Linked DNA regions of Danio rerio. The protein of the gene in region 1 purifies or fractionates together with the protein of each later gene. This does not show direct contact. Links are inferred from orthologs where the notes say so. Each region holds a gene or a part of one and is shown on either strand. Other genes may lie near its edges.

Region 1 (5,112 bases):
TAACTTTTTAATTTTTCATCTCAAGTAAACATCTTGATTTAATGGTGTTTATTTATTGCATTAAAAATATATTATTTAATGGTTAAAACCAGTATTTTAACAATTTAAGATGAGCATTAAGAATTTAATGAGCAAAATTGCAACATTAATCTATTATGTAGTATGTTTCATTGTTTTTTTAGGCATAATTAGGGCCACTCGGAATCTGCACGTGCAGAAATACGCAGATTTACACACATCTTTAGCCCATCATTTAACTTGAGTAAATATATAACGTATAAATTTATATTTATTCAGTTTTTAATTTCAGTAATATTGACAAACATGAAAATGGTTATATGATTTATTTACAATACAGTTTGTAAAGTGATATTTTGTGTTTTTTAGTAAATATATTATGAGAGACTTGCTTTGCTCACCAATTAAGTGGATCTAATTCGATTTGCACTAAAAACATTAAATAAAAGTTAAAACACTATTATTTCTTTTAATTTCATATAGTTTTTAGTTATGATACAACCATCATTCTGCATAAATCCACAGATTTTTATTTGTTTATTTTTTTTTACAAAAAATTCTTTTTACAAAATTCTGTGCAGAAATAGCAAAAAAAATTAAAAAGTCATACTACACTGGTGCTGCACATGCATAATAATATCCGCTTGTTAAGTGTGACGTCACGTGGAGCGGCTTCTGGGTCCAAGCGCTCTATTCAACTGAATAGGGAGATTCATGAAATGGTAATTATAAACGTTTACAAAGCGATTTAATACTTTCGAAAGTCATGATCGCAATATATATGTCCATGCCTAATATCCAATGGCCAGAAAATGATTCATTGTTTTATAAATTGTTAAAATTGTGGTATTTGTTATGCAGCAAACCCAGAGATTGTTGTGTACACTATGACTTTATGTAAAATTAACTTTAATGTGTGATAGGAATAAAACGCGATCATAAACGAAAGATTTCTCCACTCAAATGAACGGCGGCTTGGACCCGGAAACAGTATACATACGTCACAACACGTCACCACTTAACAAGCGGATACACAAGTGTAAATTTTGTAAGCATAAACCTTTCTTTCAGATTTTTCTTAAAGATCTAAATCTTTATATGTCTTTGATTTCCGAATGTACTAACAAAAAAGCTGTAAAAACTGTGAATCTGTTTAAAAGATACATTTCTGTTTTGATCCCTGGCATGTAATGTAATGTAAATGTTTCAGTTTGTTAATAAAAAAAAAAAAAGCTCATACTTGTGTAGAAGCACACATTTTAAACTGATATGCATCTGCATTATATATTTTGGCTTCAATGTGTACTCAACTTTCAGTTTCATTAATCTACTCATAACTATTATTCAATGCTTTTCTTCACACATAAAGAATAGAGTACCTGACAATAAACATAAGTTACACCTTCGAAGCACATTTCAAACACTTTCCAGGTGCATTCTTAAACTTTTCAGAGTAAAGATTCTAATAATGCTGAATAATTGAATGTTTATTATTAATATGGATATTACAAAGGAGTGTTGGTATTATCGCGTAGTAATCAGTAAATACTGGTTCTGCTATGCACATTATGGAGGCAAGTTACGCATTACATATACTAAGCTGTTTTGTGATAAGCTTATTTTGCTAATGAATGAAACAATCCTCGTTATTTTTTTTCATTAAAACAAAACGTATCAAGTCACCTTGAACCTCAGCCGTTTCTTTGCTTGTATACGATTCAAATTAATGGGGTATTTGTTTTATGAAAATAATTATTTTGCGCTGAGACGAGTTTGGGGGTATGCATGAAAACGAAACAAATTTCCCGCATTTTGACGTCATAATAAAGCGCAACCCCCCGTCTAAAACAGCAACAATGCGGACTGTCCCATGCGCGTGGCGCCTCACTACGCTTGTACATTCAGAAATTTGATTCATTTAGCAAATCGGTTCTTTTGAAAGGTTCAGTTTATTAAACAGTGAAAAATGATTCGTTCATTTATACGCTCGCATGCATGTTGTTGTTCTGTACTGTTTTCAATTAATGACCCATATAATTAACCATCAAATGCATATAAATTAACCATACATAAAACAAAATGTTTATTTTGCACTTACATTACATAGATTGATTTTAAATTGGCTACAGTTTAAAAACATCTTATTTTTTATTTCAAACACAGTTAAAAAAAATTCGAAACCCTCATACTATGTGAATATAAATAAATATGCATATGAAGAATTTGTATTAAAACTTGTTTGATAGCCTATATTATCCTTTAGATGTGTAATATTATTTGGAAATTGCGACTCGGTTCCTCTGAATCAAAAGAATTGAATCTAAAACTTTGGTCTGGAATCATAAAGCCCGTGCCGTGACAGAAGAGCTAACGTTACAGATCAGTGAATGTATAACTGCAGCAACCAGTTAAAAAACATTAGAAAAACGTTAATTTAATGCATTTCCCAATGATGGGTTGCAGCTGGAAGGGCATTCCCGGCGTAAAACATATGCTAGATAAGTTGGCGGTTCATTCCGCTATGGCGAGATGAATAAAGGGATAAGCCGAAAAGAAAATGAATGAATGAATAATTTAACGCAATAGTGGGCATTTTCGCAAACCAGTGTTTCTGCTCGTAATGGTTTTGTTTGAGGTTTGCTCATACATTCTGCTCTTTTTCAAGTCTAAGTTAGAGCACAATGAATCACACGCGCTCTGTACAAGGACGTGCCAGCTTTCCACGTCAACGATTTTAATGCTGAAACAAAGACTGGATAATCCCTAACACATTAAACTAGATTGAACAGATTCACACTAGTTAACCATCATCTATTCGCATACGTATTTACGCGGTAACTCCTTATCTCTCACCGTCCAGCGTTGCATCAGCCCTTAAATGGACAGCAGCCAAGCATGTGCATCACAGACACGACAATACAGAGACGATTTATAAAGCAACTTAAAAATAGTTCACAGCATCAAAAAGTGCGCTCAAATGAGGAATAATCCAGACACAGCTGTTCTAAAAAAATCGCACGTGCTTACCTTTAGGAAGTCGAATTAATTCACTCAACGACCTCAAAACTGACACATTCCAACTCGACGAAAAATAAACATTCAACCGGCAGACAGCAGCAGCTGACTTTCTATTCTTACTAGTATTTTACTATAAAATACTAGTACCCCTTCACCCTCGAGTAAACCCCACCCATAAGGGATCATTGGTGGTTTTCTACCATCCTTCCGCGTTGCCAACACCCAAACCGAGAGCGTTCTTGTCTCATTTCCATCCCGTTCATTTGCATTCACATGGAACGTTAAAGGGGCAGTTACCAAGTTACAAAACTGCTTTCTCGCTTTCTGCGGTAAATGCACACCAAGATGTAGGTATGTGACTTTTCTCCCTTAAAATTCCACTTAAGGGCAACACCGTAAATAAATAAATAAATGAATAAATACAAGTTTTTTTCTGCTGTGGCGCGATCTGACCCTTAGAAAAAGGACATAACGTTAAGCTGCGATTGAAAGCAAAATAAAACAAATGAATGGATTAATTCCTGCGTCCTCAATTTTTTTATTTAATAAAAAAAACTTTTTAGTCATCATCACAGGAACTGCAGATAATCATATTGGTGTATGCCATATAAAATTTAAAACAAAATTCTTTAAAAAAATGTGATATTGTAACTTATTGACCATTTATTGTTGTTTAAATAATGATTATAGGGCCTACAACAGCATAATAATCCAAATACAGTAACACTTTCAAGGAACAAAACCTTTTCATTCTGATTTCTGAAAGGGTTAAAAAAATCTGTTATAAATTACTCACCTTTCTGGTTTCAACCCCTCAAGACATCTTCAGAACACAGATTAAGATATTTTAGATGACTGCTCTCTGGTCATCCATAGACAGCAGTGATCCCAAGACATACAATGAACCAACATTCAATGAAGCTCCAAGAACATTTTACTGCACAAAAAACCCCATAAAAAAACAGAACAAACGAACAAATAAAAACCCTGTAAAAATGACTTAGTTCGCCAACATTTTAAATGCCACTTATTACAAATAGTACAATATATTGCCATTAAAGTCAGCAGTGTTACATGCCAGGGACATATTTCCCATAGTGTTTATAGTGGTCTGTGCGGGACTGACTTTCTTATAGTGGTCTGTGCGGGACTGACTTTCTTAGTGAATAATAATTATAGGGAATACAACAGCATATTATTCCAAATAGACAGTAACATTATCAAGGAACAAAACCTTTTCATTCTGATTTCTGAAAGGATTAGTTTTCAGATCTCTCCAGAGATGTTTAATTGGATTTAGTTCTGGGCTCTGATTGGGCCACTCAAGGACATTCACCGAGTTGTTGTGTAGCCACTCCATTGATATTTTGGCGGTGTGCTTTGGGTCATTGTCCAGCTGCAAGATGAGCCGTCGCCCCAGTCTTAGGTCAAGAGTACTCTGAAGCAGGTTTCATTCAGGATGTCCTGGTGGTTACAAATATTTTCCACTTATGTCTACTGTGCTCATTAGAACTTTCAGAGCAGCAGAACTGTTTTCTGTAACCTTCCCCAGCCTTGTGCCTTGAGACAATCCTGTCTCAGAGGTCTACAGACAATTCCTTTTTCTTTATGCTTGGTTTGTGCTTTGACATGCACTGTCAACTCTGGGACCTCATATAAACAGGTGTATCAACTGAATTTACCACAGATGAACTCCAATCAAGCTGCTGAAACATCTCAAGAATGATCAGTGGAAACAGAATGTACCTGAGCTCAATTTAGAGCTTCACGGCAAAGGCTGTCAATACTTCTGTACATGTGATTTTTTATTTTTTTTATTTTTAATACATTTTTAACAATTTAAAAAATATACATATTTTTCACATTGTCATTATAGGGTATTGTGTGTAGAATTTTAAGGAAATAAATTAATTGAATCCATTTTGGAATAAATCTGTAACATAAAAAATTGTGGAAAAAGTGAAGCGCTATGAATACTTTCCAGATGCACTGTAAGTAGGCTGCAGCTTTGAACCAGAGCTCATTTGGAAGACTTCTTTCAAACTGTCAGTAGTTTTTAGGAAAATATGAAAGCTG
Region 2 (5,237 bases), on another chromosome or scaffold:
ACGCACGCACATAAACCGTGTAGTATGAATCCAGCCATTATTCTGTAGAAGACATTTAGGTGCCAAATGTTGTCATTTCATAGCTTTTCTATTAAACAAACGTTATCTTCCTCCAGGGGGCGCCCTGTGGCTCAAAATATTTGAGTCATTGGTAATAAATTGGGCAAAAAACGCATAAAATAAATATATATTTTACAATCATTTAATACAATGCTCATCCACACTGATAAAGGCTATTATAGTTTTTAGTAAATACTATAGCATTTTTGAACCATACAGTAGAATTAAAATGACAGTAATTATTATTATATATATTAGATAATAATAATTAGATTTTATGTAAAATTATCATTTTAATTCTACTGTATGGTTAAAAAAAAAAAAAAATATATATATATATATATATATATATATATATATATATATTTTTTTTTTTTTTTTTTTTTTTTTTTTTGAAACCATACAGTAGAATTGTTTCACTGGCCACTTTATTAGGTACACCTAGAATCAAGTTGGACCCCTTTTGCCTTCAGAACTGACTTAATCCTTCATGGCATAGATTCAACAAGATTGAATTGCTCCAAAATTTCTGTCCATATTGACATGAAAGCATTTCACGATTTGTAGACTGCACATCCATGATACAAATTTCCAGTTCCACCACATCCCAAAAGTGCCCTATTGGATTGAGGTGACTGTGAAGGCCATTTGAGTACAGTGAACTCATTGTCATGTTTAAGAAACCAGTCTGAGATGATTCGCACTTTATCACATGGCTTGTTATTCTGCTGGAAGTAGCCATCAGAAGATGGGTTCACTGTGGTCATAAAGGGATGGACATGGTCAGCAACAATACTAATAACAATACTAATGTGACCAAAGTGTGTTAAGAAAATACACCATTACACCACCACCACCAGCCTCAACCGTTGACACAAGGCAGGATGGATCCAAGCTTTCATTTTGTTGATGCCAAATTCTGACTATCTGAATGTCGCAGCAGAAATCGAGAGCCATCAGGCCATGAAATGTTTTTTCAATCTTCTATTGTCCAATTTTGGTGAGCCTTTGTGAATTGTAGCCTCAGTTTCCTTTTCTTAGCTGTCAGGAGTGGCACACGGTGTGGTCTTCTGCTGCTGTAGCCCATCTGCCACAAGGTTGGACGTGTTGTGCATTCAGAGATGCTCTTCTGCAGACCTCGGTTGTAACGAGTGGTTATTTGAGTTACTGTTGCCTTTCTATCAGCTGGAACCAGCCTAACCATTCTCCTCTGACCCCTGGCATCAACAAGGCATTTGCGCCCACAGAACTGCCGCTCAATGGATATTATCTCTTTTCGCACCATTCTCTGTAAACCCAGATTGTTGTGCGTGAAAATCCCAGTAGATCAGCAGTTTCTGAAATACTCAGACCAGCCGGTCTGGCACCAACAAACGTGCCATATACAGAGTCACTTAAATCACCTTTCTTTTCCTATAATGATGCTCGGTTTGAACTGCTGCAGATCGTCTTAACTGTGTCTACAAAATACAGGTGTACCTAATAAAGTGTATATACACACTGTATTACTACTGTGGCATTCATTAACAAAGTTATAAACAAGCTATACTATGTATAATACACTTGAATATAGTAGGCTAGGCTGTTTCACTGCCAAAACCCAAAAGTAACACATGACAGCTGTAATGGTCCAGCGTGATTCTAGTCATATTATCTAGTCAATAATTTGCACATTATAGAAATAATAATAATAACATTAACATTAAGCGACATTAACAAAGCAAATAAAAGAAATAAGTTAAAGTAGACCCGTCAAAACAGAAATCTAAGCTCCGCCTATTAGTGTTACCGCTATGATCGTGTGTTTCCTTTCTATTCATTTCGATTTCTGTGAGAGGAGCAGCGCATCGCCGCCGCATCTGAGCATCACAGTTACAGGTATGCGATTCATTCTCACTCTTTACGTATTGAAACCGTTCGCTTTGTTGACATTCGTGCAAGCATATTTACATAATTTCAGACGTACATAATTAGTCCTTGTTTTATTGCAGCGACAGGCCTGCTGAGCCATTACCGACGTGAAATGTGTTGCGTTGCGTACGCAGTAGCCTACATTTTCTGTATTTGTTTCAGGTTTATTCATTTACGTGTTTTATCTACTGCTATTTTCAGAAATGTGTAACCTGTACATAAAATAAGTCGTTTATTTATATTTAATGCGCGAACACAGTTAACCTAAAGTGAATGTGATTTATGGCATCTGATCATGCAGCTGTTGTTTTTCAGTCATCATGTCTTACGGAATGATGGACAGCAGCCACTCACAGTCACAGCCGAGAGATTTCAACAACCTCACGCAGACATGCAGCTCAAACATCCAGAAAATCACACAAAACAGTAAGTAGATATATTGCAGACACACTTTAAGTGATCGTTTAAATGAAATGCGTGCAATTACACTGCAAAAAATGCCTTTCTTGCTTAGATTTTTTGTCTTGTTTCTAGTCTAAATATCTAAAATTTATTATGTCAAGAAGCATTTTCTAGACAAGCTAACCATATTGTCTTGAGAAATAATATGCCAATATTAGGTGAGTTTTTCCTTAAAACAAGCAAAATAATCTGCCAATGGGGTAAGCAAATTAATCTTGTTTTTTCTTTTGACGTAAGATTATTTTGTTTACCCCATTGGCAGATTATTTTGCTTGTATTAAGGAAAAACTCACTTAATATTGGAATATTATTTCTCAATACAAGACAATATGCTTTGCTTGTCTAGAAAATTATTCTTAAATTAGGAATTTTTTAGCTATTTGGACTAGAAACATGACAAAAGATCTAAGTAAGAAAAGCATTTTTTTGCAGTGTAAACAGTTTACTGACCCTGAAGACACCTTTCTTCTTTTAGACAAGCACAAAAACAATGACACAAAGTAATTTTCTGGCTTGATTTTTTTTTCTACACATACACATCAATTTTAAAAAAATAATCCACATGACGACTCCATGGGTAAAGATGGTTTCTGTAGTGAAGGAATTAGTTTTTGTCAGAAAAATATCCACATTTAATGCTTTTCCAGTTTGCACATTCTCAAGGGAAGTAGCCTATGTATGATAAGCCTAACCCTTACTGTAAATTATTCCCAAAATCAGAGGGGATTAATATACTGATGTAGATTTGTATAACCCTAAATGTAAGCCTAAACTTAAACATAACTGTAAACGTATTCCTTAAATCTAATTGGCTGATTGGAAACACAGATATTGATCCAGAAACATGTTACTCGATGAAATAGTGTAAATCTTAAATTAGAATTTTGGCAGTTTTGGATATCCTGTACATTTGTATTATTATTTATATTAAAATTATCCATGTTTATGTCCTACTTCATATGTGATAGCTTGGCTCTTACTGTATGTCAATACAGATTTTTTTCCCCTTAGAGAGCATTGAATAACACGCTGTAGTGATATGGATTATTTTTATGGAAATCTTAAACTGGGGCAGCATCAAATCCTATAAAAAATATGGGAAGTTTTTTTTTTTTAATAACTCTGTGTTTGTCTGAAATAGAAAGGCATGTTGTACAGTACATCTAGGATGGCTTCAAGATGAGTAAATTATGAATTATGTTTTTCACTTGGCGAAGAGTTCCTTAAAGAAAAGATTGCATTATCTGTTAAATCTTTAACTATTTAGTTTGAATAGGTATTAATGGGCAGTTCATTGCGCTGTGGCGACCCCGTATTGTTAAAGGGACTAAGTGGAAAAGCAAGGCAGGGCAAGTTTATTTATATAGCACATTTCATACACAGAGGCAATTATAAGTGTTTTACATAAACAGGAATAAAAGAAACAAGAGTAAGAAAATAAAAACAAATAATAAGAATTATAAAAATACGAATAAAAATAAATAAAACAGATAAAAATGTGTTAAAATATGTTATAAGATAATGAAAAAGAAAAGAAAAGCATAATAGTGCGATCTGTCGACGCAGCACAGTGCTCATTCAGTAAGGGCACAGCTAAACAGATGTGTTTTCAGTCTTGATTTGAATGTGCCTAATGTTGGAGCACATCTGATCATTTCTGGAAGCTGATTCCAGCAGCGGGGGGCATAGTGGCTGAAGGCGGATTCACCCTGCTTTGACTGAGCTCTCGGAACTTCTAGTTTATATGATCCTAAAGATCTGAGTGATCTGTTAGGTTTGTATTCAGTGAGCATATATGAAATGTATTGAGGTCCTAGGCCATTTAGTGATTTATAGACCAGTAACAATACTTTAAAGTCTATTCTGAATGTAACTGGGAGCTAGTGTAGAGACCTGAGGACAGGTGTGATGTGCTCTGATTTTCTGGTTCTGATCAGAATCCTGGCTGCAACATTTTGGATGAGCTGCAACTGTCTCACTGTCTTTTTGGGAAGGCCAGTGAGGAGTCCATTACAGTAATCCACCCTGCTGCTGATAAAAGCATGAAGAAGTTACTTCACTGGAAACAAAGCATTCTGATTCTTGCAATGTTTTTGAGATGATAGTATGCTGATTTACTTACTGCTTTGACATGACTATTGAAACTCAGATCTGACTCCAGAGTCACACCAAGATTCTTGATCTTATTTTTTGTCGTTTGACCTTTAGTGCCAAGGTACGCATTCACCTTGAGAACCTCATCTCCGTTCCCAAACGCAATGACTTCAGTTTTCTCTTTGTTCAACTGAAGAAAGTTTTGGCACATCCAAGTGTTAATTGGAAAAGAAAATAAATGAATGAATAAAATGCATTAAATTATAAATGCATTTATGTGTGTGTGTGTATATAATTTACCTTTTATAATGTCTCACATTTTCTGTGCATAGCTGGCCAAATCAAGAGCATGCTGTTCCAACTTGGCACGAGACCAGACACACCTGAACTTCAGGACAGACTGTGAGTGCCGTTATTTTCATCACATCAGAGCCACAAGAGGGGGAGGGGGGTGTTGGTGTACAGGTCTATGTGGTTTATAGCTACACTAAGTTGTTCAATGACTAAAGGCCGGTATACATCAAGTCGACACCAAACAACTAGAGCTGACAAAACCCAGCTGAGTTGTTGCCTTACGTCGGCTCACGTCTGGTTCGGTTTGGACCAAATCGTTGCAAGTTCTGCACCTGTGCAATAACACGTGCACTTCCACAGAGGGCTATATGTGTTTTCTCATTCACAATGGGTAACCTGAGCTTACGACACAGATA
Region 3 (5,173 bases), on another chromosome or scaffold:
AAATTAAATTTTTCGTGTTAAATAAAAAGTTATATAAAGCTAACATGGAATATTATCTTTCATAAGATCACATTCTTAAGAGGATATTTCACCCGAAAATAAGAATTCTGTCATCACTGTGTGCGTTTCTGTTTATGTTACCTTGCCAGTTCCACGCCACCCAATCCGCTCCAAGCTAGTATCGAACCGGCGACCTTCCGCATGGGATTCGATTGCTCTAACAAGGAGGCTTAAAACCGCAAAGCGCAGAGCTATAAAAAAAAATCTAATTGTTGGGTTTGTATGTGTTTACATGCTAATCAGTAAACTAAAATGGTACTTTGAAAGACTTTTCACTATAATGCTCTTCTGGGAAGCAAAAACTTCTTCATGTCATCACTTTAAAATCTCCAGTTTTGGTTCTTCCTGTCAAATCTATTTTTAGGTTTATGATTTCCAGCTTTCGATTTTCTTTTCTTTCTTTATACAATTACTGATCTGATATCCGTTAAAACTCGCAATTCTGACTTCAAAACTCAGATTCTTTTTGCCCCCTACTGAGTGATGCACCCATGTGGATATGTAAGCCCGTTTTCGCCACTGAGTAATTTTTTTGAAGTAGTTATTGCATTCAGAATTTTAATAATAATTCCTTAACTTTATATAGCACTTTTCTGGACACTCAAAGCACTTTACACATTTTTTGGGGGGTGGGGGAATCTCCTCATCCACCACCATTGTGCAGCATCCACCAGAATGACGGCAGCCATATTGCACCAGAATACACACCAGCTGATTGGTGGAGTGGAGATAGAGTTATGATGCCATGATGGACAGAGGCTAGTAGGCAGCTTTGGCCAGGATGCCGAGGTTAACCCCTGCTCTTTTTTTTCAAAGGACATCCTGGGATTTTTAACGACCACAGAGAGTCAGGTTTAACATCTCATCTGAAAGACAGGACTCACTGACAGTATATTAATGTACCGGCGTGTTAGGAGACATACAGACAGCAGGTTGAGCTGGTCTCCCTAACACACTTGTGGCAATAACCTACAGTTGCTTTCCCATGTGGTATCCCATCCAGGAACTGACCTGGCGCAGCCCTGCTCAACCATGAGAGTTGCAGAGGGCTAGCTGCCGGCAATGCTAATTATAGCTGGCTTTATAACTCTTATGTAATAGCTTTATATAATTGTGACATATATCTCAGAATGCTGTCTTTATATCGCACAATTGCAACTTTATATTTCAGATTTCTGACAAAACCTGTAATTGTGAAGTATATCTCAAAATTCTTGCTTTATTTATTTACTCAGAATTGTGACATTTTATATCTCTGAATTGTGACTTTATCCTAGAATTCTGACTTCATAACTCTAAATTGTAACTTAATCTCTGAATTGTAACTTAGAGTTCTGACTTTATGACTTATATGTGAAAATTATGTCTTTATATCACACAGTTGTGACTTTATGTCTGAGAATTCTGACTTTATAACTCGAAATTTTGATTTTAAATCTCAGAAATCTGAAACAAAAAGCGGGAAAAGATAAAAACTGTTATTCTCTGGCGGAAATTGGCTTCCTTAAATAGCCTCAGTCGTGTCGCTCAGTAGGGGGCAGTAAGAGCCTTGACGGATTTGTCAGACATCCGCAAACTGATAGAGAAGAAGAAAACGGTAAAGTCATATACAGCGACATCGCCCCACACTGATCTCTAAACATAACCAGAGTTTATCCATATAGCATAGATATACACAGCATCTCTCAGCGTCCATCAATATTCTGCTCTGAAAGTTATTTGTGGAAGTTGGCTGGCGTGAAATGTGACTTTCAATGGAAACTCCCTCTTATCTGTTGTGAGTTTTGCAAGTTTATGGTCAGGAGACAGATGAGCTACACCTCTTAAAAACGGGAACATTTCATCTGAGCTGGCCATAAAATACATCGAAAATGCGGGACCGGACCAAAGAACTGGGCAATGTGAGTAATTTCAGGGCAGTGCACGCAGGAAACCGGCTAACTGGCTAACGGGCTAATGTTATTCAGCGGATGTAACTACTGTCACCACTGGCTCGACTGCGATTTATTAACTCCTTCAAGGATTGTAACGAGTCACAATCTATAGTTGTGTGGCTTATTTTCTTGTGTTGGAAAAATATATGGTTAAAGTCCACGAACGGTAGGCTAACACCCTCTTGCAGCACCAGCGCTCTTGGGTAAACGGGGTGTAACTTTATTTAGCCTACAAATAAATACAGCTGCCATGAATGGTTGCATTTGAATATTGATTTTAGTTTTTCTCACAAGAAAGTTAAGCGTTGAATTGGTACTTAACTTTTAGTTGTATTATTATTAATACACTGTCATTCGCTCGGCAATAAAGGTTTATTATCATCCGTTTGTTTTTTCACGTAATTGTGTTGTTGCAGTTTCTTCTGTGGGACTACATTTGCCTTTCGACAAACAAATACCTTTAAATGTCCCAAAGAGAGTCACAAAGGGTTAATTTCACAAAGTTTTTACACTAAATGTTGCACATACTGAAAAATATGAATCTCCTGTATATGGTTTTTACTTCGTTTTCCTGTAAAAGCAAAAAAACTATAATGTTAATAAATTCACACACAATAAAACACACTATCTGTCATGTTAACGTGTTTTTCCTTAAAGCTACTTTTTGTGTAATCCTAAATTAATTAAATTCAAATATATATTTTTCATAAAACATGTCAAGTAAATGTAAAATATATCTTGATTTAAGACTTTCACACATTTGCAAAACGACGAATATAGTGGAAGATGTTTTTTGTAATGTGATGAGAAGAGTAACATTTTTAATGGCTATTCAGTTTTGACTTTTTTTTGTAAGTTTAGAAATAACAGATCTGTTTACTTTTTTTTAAACTTTGAGGTATTATTTAAAATAGATATTTTGCTAACCTTATTTACCTTTATCTAAGCTGCAGAAACACTGTCTTGCACTTTGTATGGTGGTAATATTTTTAAAATATGATAACATACAATATAAAAATTTATTAATAACAATATTCTTAACTATATTCAGTGTCGTATTGTGTACTCTTTTACTAGACTGCTGATGCCTCAGATGAAGATGAAGAAACCGTAGCTCTAATGATAAAGCCTGGATCTGGAACCTCAGCAAATGAAGACAAAGAAAATGAAGCTTTCTTTAAAAAGGTCATTGTAGCACGATTGCTCTCATTTTAACTGCAACTTTCAATACTTTTATGCACTAGTTTTAGGGATCTGTACAGAAGTAGCATGTTGTTTCTGTAATTAATGATTTTTGAACTGAAGTGTGTATTGTTGGTTCTTGTATAATATAATTTAGAAATCCTGCAATTCTGAACTGTGATTTTCTACACTGCAGGTTTCTCACAAATACTGATTAGTACGGTGGCTGAGAGCGCTCAAATGTACTGCACCAACAAAAAACACCAATAAAAAAGCATTTTTTATCAATTATTAATGCAAAAAATGTACAAACAACAAGGAACCTTACGACCAGGACATTAAAATAACCATCAGACAGCAACCCTGACAGGCTCTAAACAGGAAGTAGCTGGGTTTGTCTCTTTTGGGGTTCCCTGACACATTTCTGTCATGTGCTCTTTGCATATGTGCATGTGTTGTGAGAATTTGCTTACACATATTGTCAAACGAATGAACACATTTTCTTAGTTTGGTTTTTCTATATGCATATCTTAGCTTACAGTACATTTGAGCTCTCTCTCCACCACCGTAGATTAGGAACATGCACATGCAAACAGTAATAAAGGAATGAAGCTGTTTAGTGTTTGTGCAAACTTCATGTAATGTCAAACATTACACATAAATTACATTTGGGTCACTTGAATTCCATAACATTTGTGCTTGGAAAGTTTGCATTGAAACTTGACATAAAAATATATTTTCTTTTTTCTATGTAGGTTCAGGAGATTCGAGAGGGACTTGAAACTCTTAAGAGAAAGGTTTCCGAATTGGAGAACAAGCAGAAAACAGTGCTAGGAGTTGCACTTCCAGAGGACAGTAAGTAATTTAGCTTTCACTTGGGTTTTTTATTATTCATTTACATAATCTTATGTTGTGTGTGTGTATTAATTAATAATTATGAAGAGAGTAAGTTAAAGGATAGTGAGTGAATGAGTAAATTATATTTTTCTTTGAGCACAGGTATGAAAAAGGAACTGCAGTCACTCAGAGAAGACATCAAAGGGATGGCCAGCCAGATCCAAAAGAAATTAAAAAGTGAGACTGATAAATAAAATTTTATAAATGAAGCTTTTTTTTTGACAATCAAACTTTTCTGCTCAACCTAACAAATGTGAAAAATTAATCACTTCATTTACATCATAGGTCTTGAACCTAAGAAATTGGAAGTTGAAGAAAAATATATCCCAGTGAATGTAAGAATGAGGAGAACTCAGGTCAGTTGCTTTTATATTTCATGTTTTAATAAATAATTAAACTTAAACAGTGTTGTTTTGCCTGAGAATAATCTGATCTTGTATGTCTCCTCATCATTTTTTGAAAGCATGGTGTTTTGTCCCGTGAATTCCTGGAACTGATGGGTCGCTGTAATACAATTCAAGCCCAATACAGAGACCGAAATGTGGAGAGGATTAAAAGACAACTCAAAATCAGTATGTGCTTATTCTGCTGTGCTTTTTTTCATTGATCTTATTAGCATTCTTACAAAGCCATCTTTTTAATGCACTGTAAGGCCTGGGACACACCAAGCCAATGGTCTGCTGTTGGACTTTGTCTGTCCGTTGATCAGGCTAGTTGGTTTGGTGTATTCTACGTGTCGACTCTCGCCGGGTTAACATTGTTCAATGGCCTGATTCAGTGTCTAGAATCGATGTCAGACCATAAGCTGAAGAGAGTACACTGACTGGTTATTCAGGAACGAATCAGAGCACGCGTGTGACATAGATAAGTCGTCTCCTTGGAATTATAAGGTTCTATCTGCATTCTGAATGATTTTGAAATATTGAACTTCAAAGTTTTTGCATTCCATTTGTTTTTTTAATTAAAAAGTCTTAACATGTAAACAACTAATGAAGAACATACCATGATGTTAGTAAGTTGTCATTTAATTAGAATATGTCAATAGCTCAATTTTGACAAAAATGTCAGATAGAACCTTATAATTCTAAGGTCACGAAGTG

What was found.
Region 2: the proteins of slc7a1b (region 1) and stx12l purify together in Homo sapiens (co-immunoprecipitation; 3 studies listed by BioGRID and IntAct, counting the BioPlex papers as one, with this or other methods). This does not show direct contact. The link is inferred for Danio rerio from reciprocal best matches to the Homo sapiens genes SLC7A1 and STX12.
Region 3: the proteins of slc7a1b (region 1) and stx4 purify together in Homo sapiens (co-immunoprecipitation; 3 studies listed by BioGRID and IntAct, counting the BioPlex papers as one, with this or other methods). This does not show direct contact. The link is inferred for Danio rerio from reciprocal best matches to the Homo sapiens genes SLC7A1 and STX4.

Annotation. Positions count from the first base shown.
Region 1 is NC_133190.1:8,445,043-8,450,154, forward strand, and holds the start of slc7a1b (high affinity cationic amino acid transporter 1b), read right to left. Parts: upstream 3,155-5,112; 5' UTR 3,046-3,154; exon of another isoform or gene 2,872-3,045; intron 1-2,871. UniProt on the Homo sapiens protein: High-affinity, low capacity permease involved in the transport of the cationic amino acids (arginine, lysine and ornithine) in non-hepatic tissues.
Region 2 is NC_133191.1:7,958,796-7,964,032, forward strand, and holds the start of stx12l (syntaxin-12), read left to right. Parts: upstream 1-1,841; 5' UTR 1,842-1,853; coding exon 1,854-1,938; intron 1,939-2,286; coding exon 2,287-2,397; intron 2,398-4,859; coding exon 4,860-4,929; intron 4,930-5,237. UniProt on the Homo sapiens protein: SNARE promoting fusion of transport vesicles with target membranes. Together with SNARE STX6, promotes movement of vesicles from endosomes to the cell membrane, and may therefore function in the endocytic recycling pathway.
Region 3 is NC_133187.1:22,373,696-22,378,868, forward strand, and holds the start of stx4 (syntaxin-4), read left to right. Parts: upstream 1-1,777; 5' UTR 1,778-1,931; coding exon 1,932-1,961; intron 1,962-3,071; coding exon 3,072-3,179; intron 3,180-3,931; coding exon 3,932-4,031; intron 4,032-4,175; coding exon 4,176-4,250; intron 4,251-4,358; coding exon 4,359-4,429; intron 4,430-4,536; coding exon 4,537-4,645; intron 4,646-5,173. UniProt on the Homo sapiens protein: Plasma membrane t-SNARE that mediates docking of transport vesicles. Necessary for the translocation of SLC2A4 from intracellular vesicles to the plasma membrane.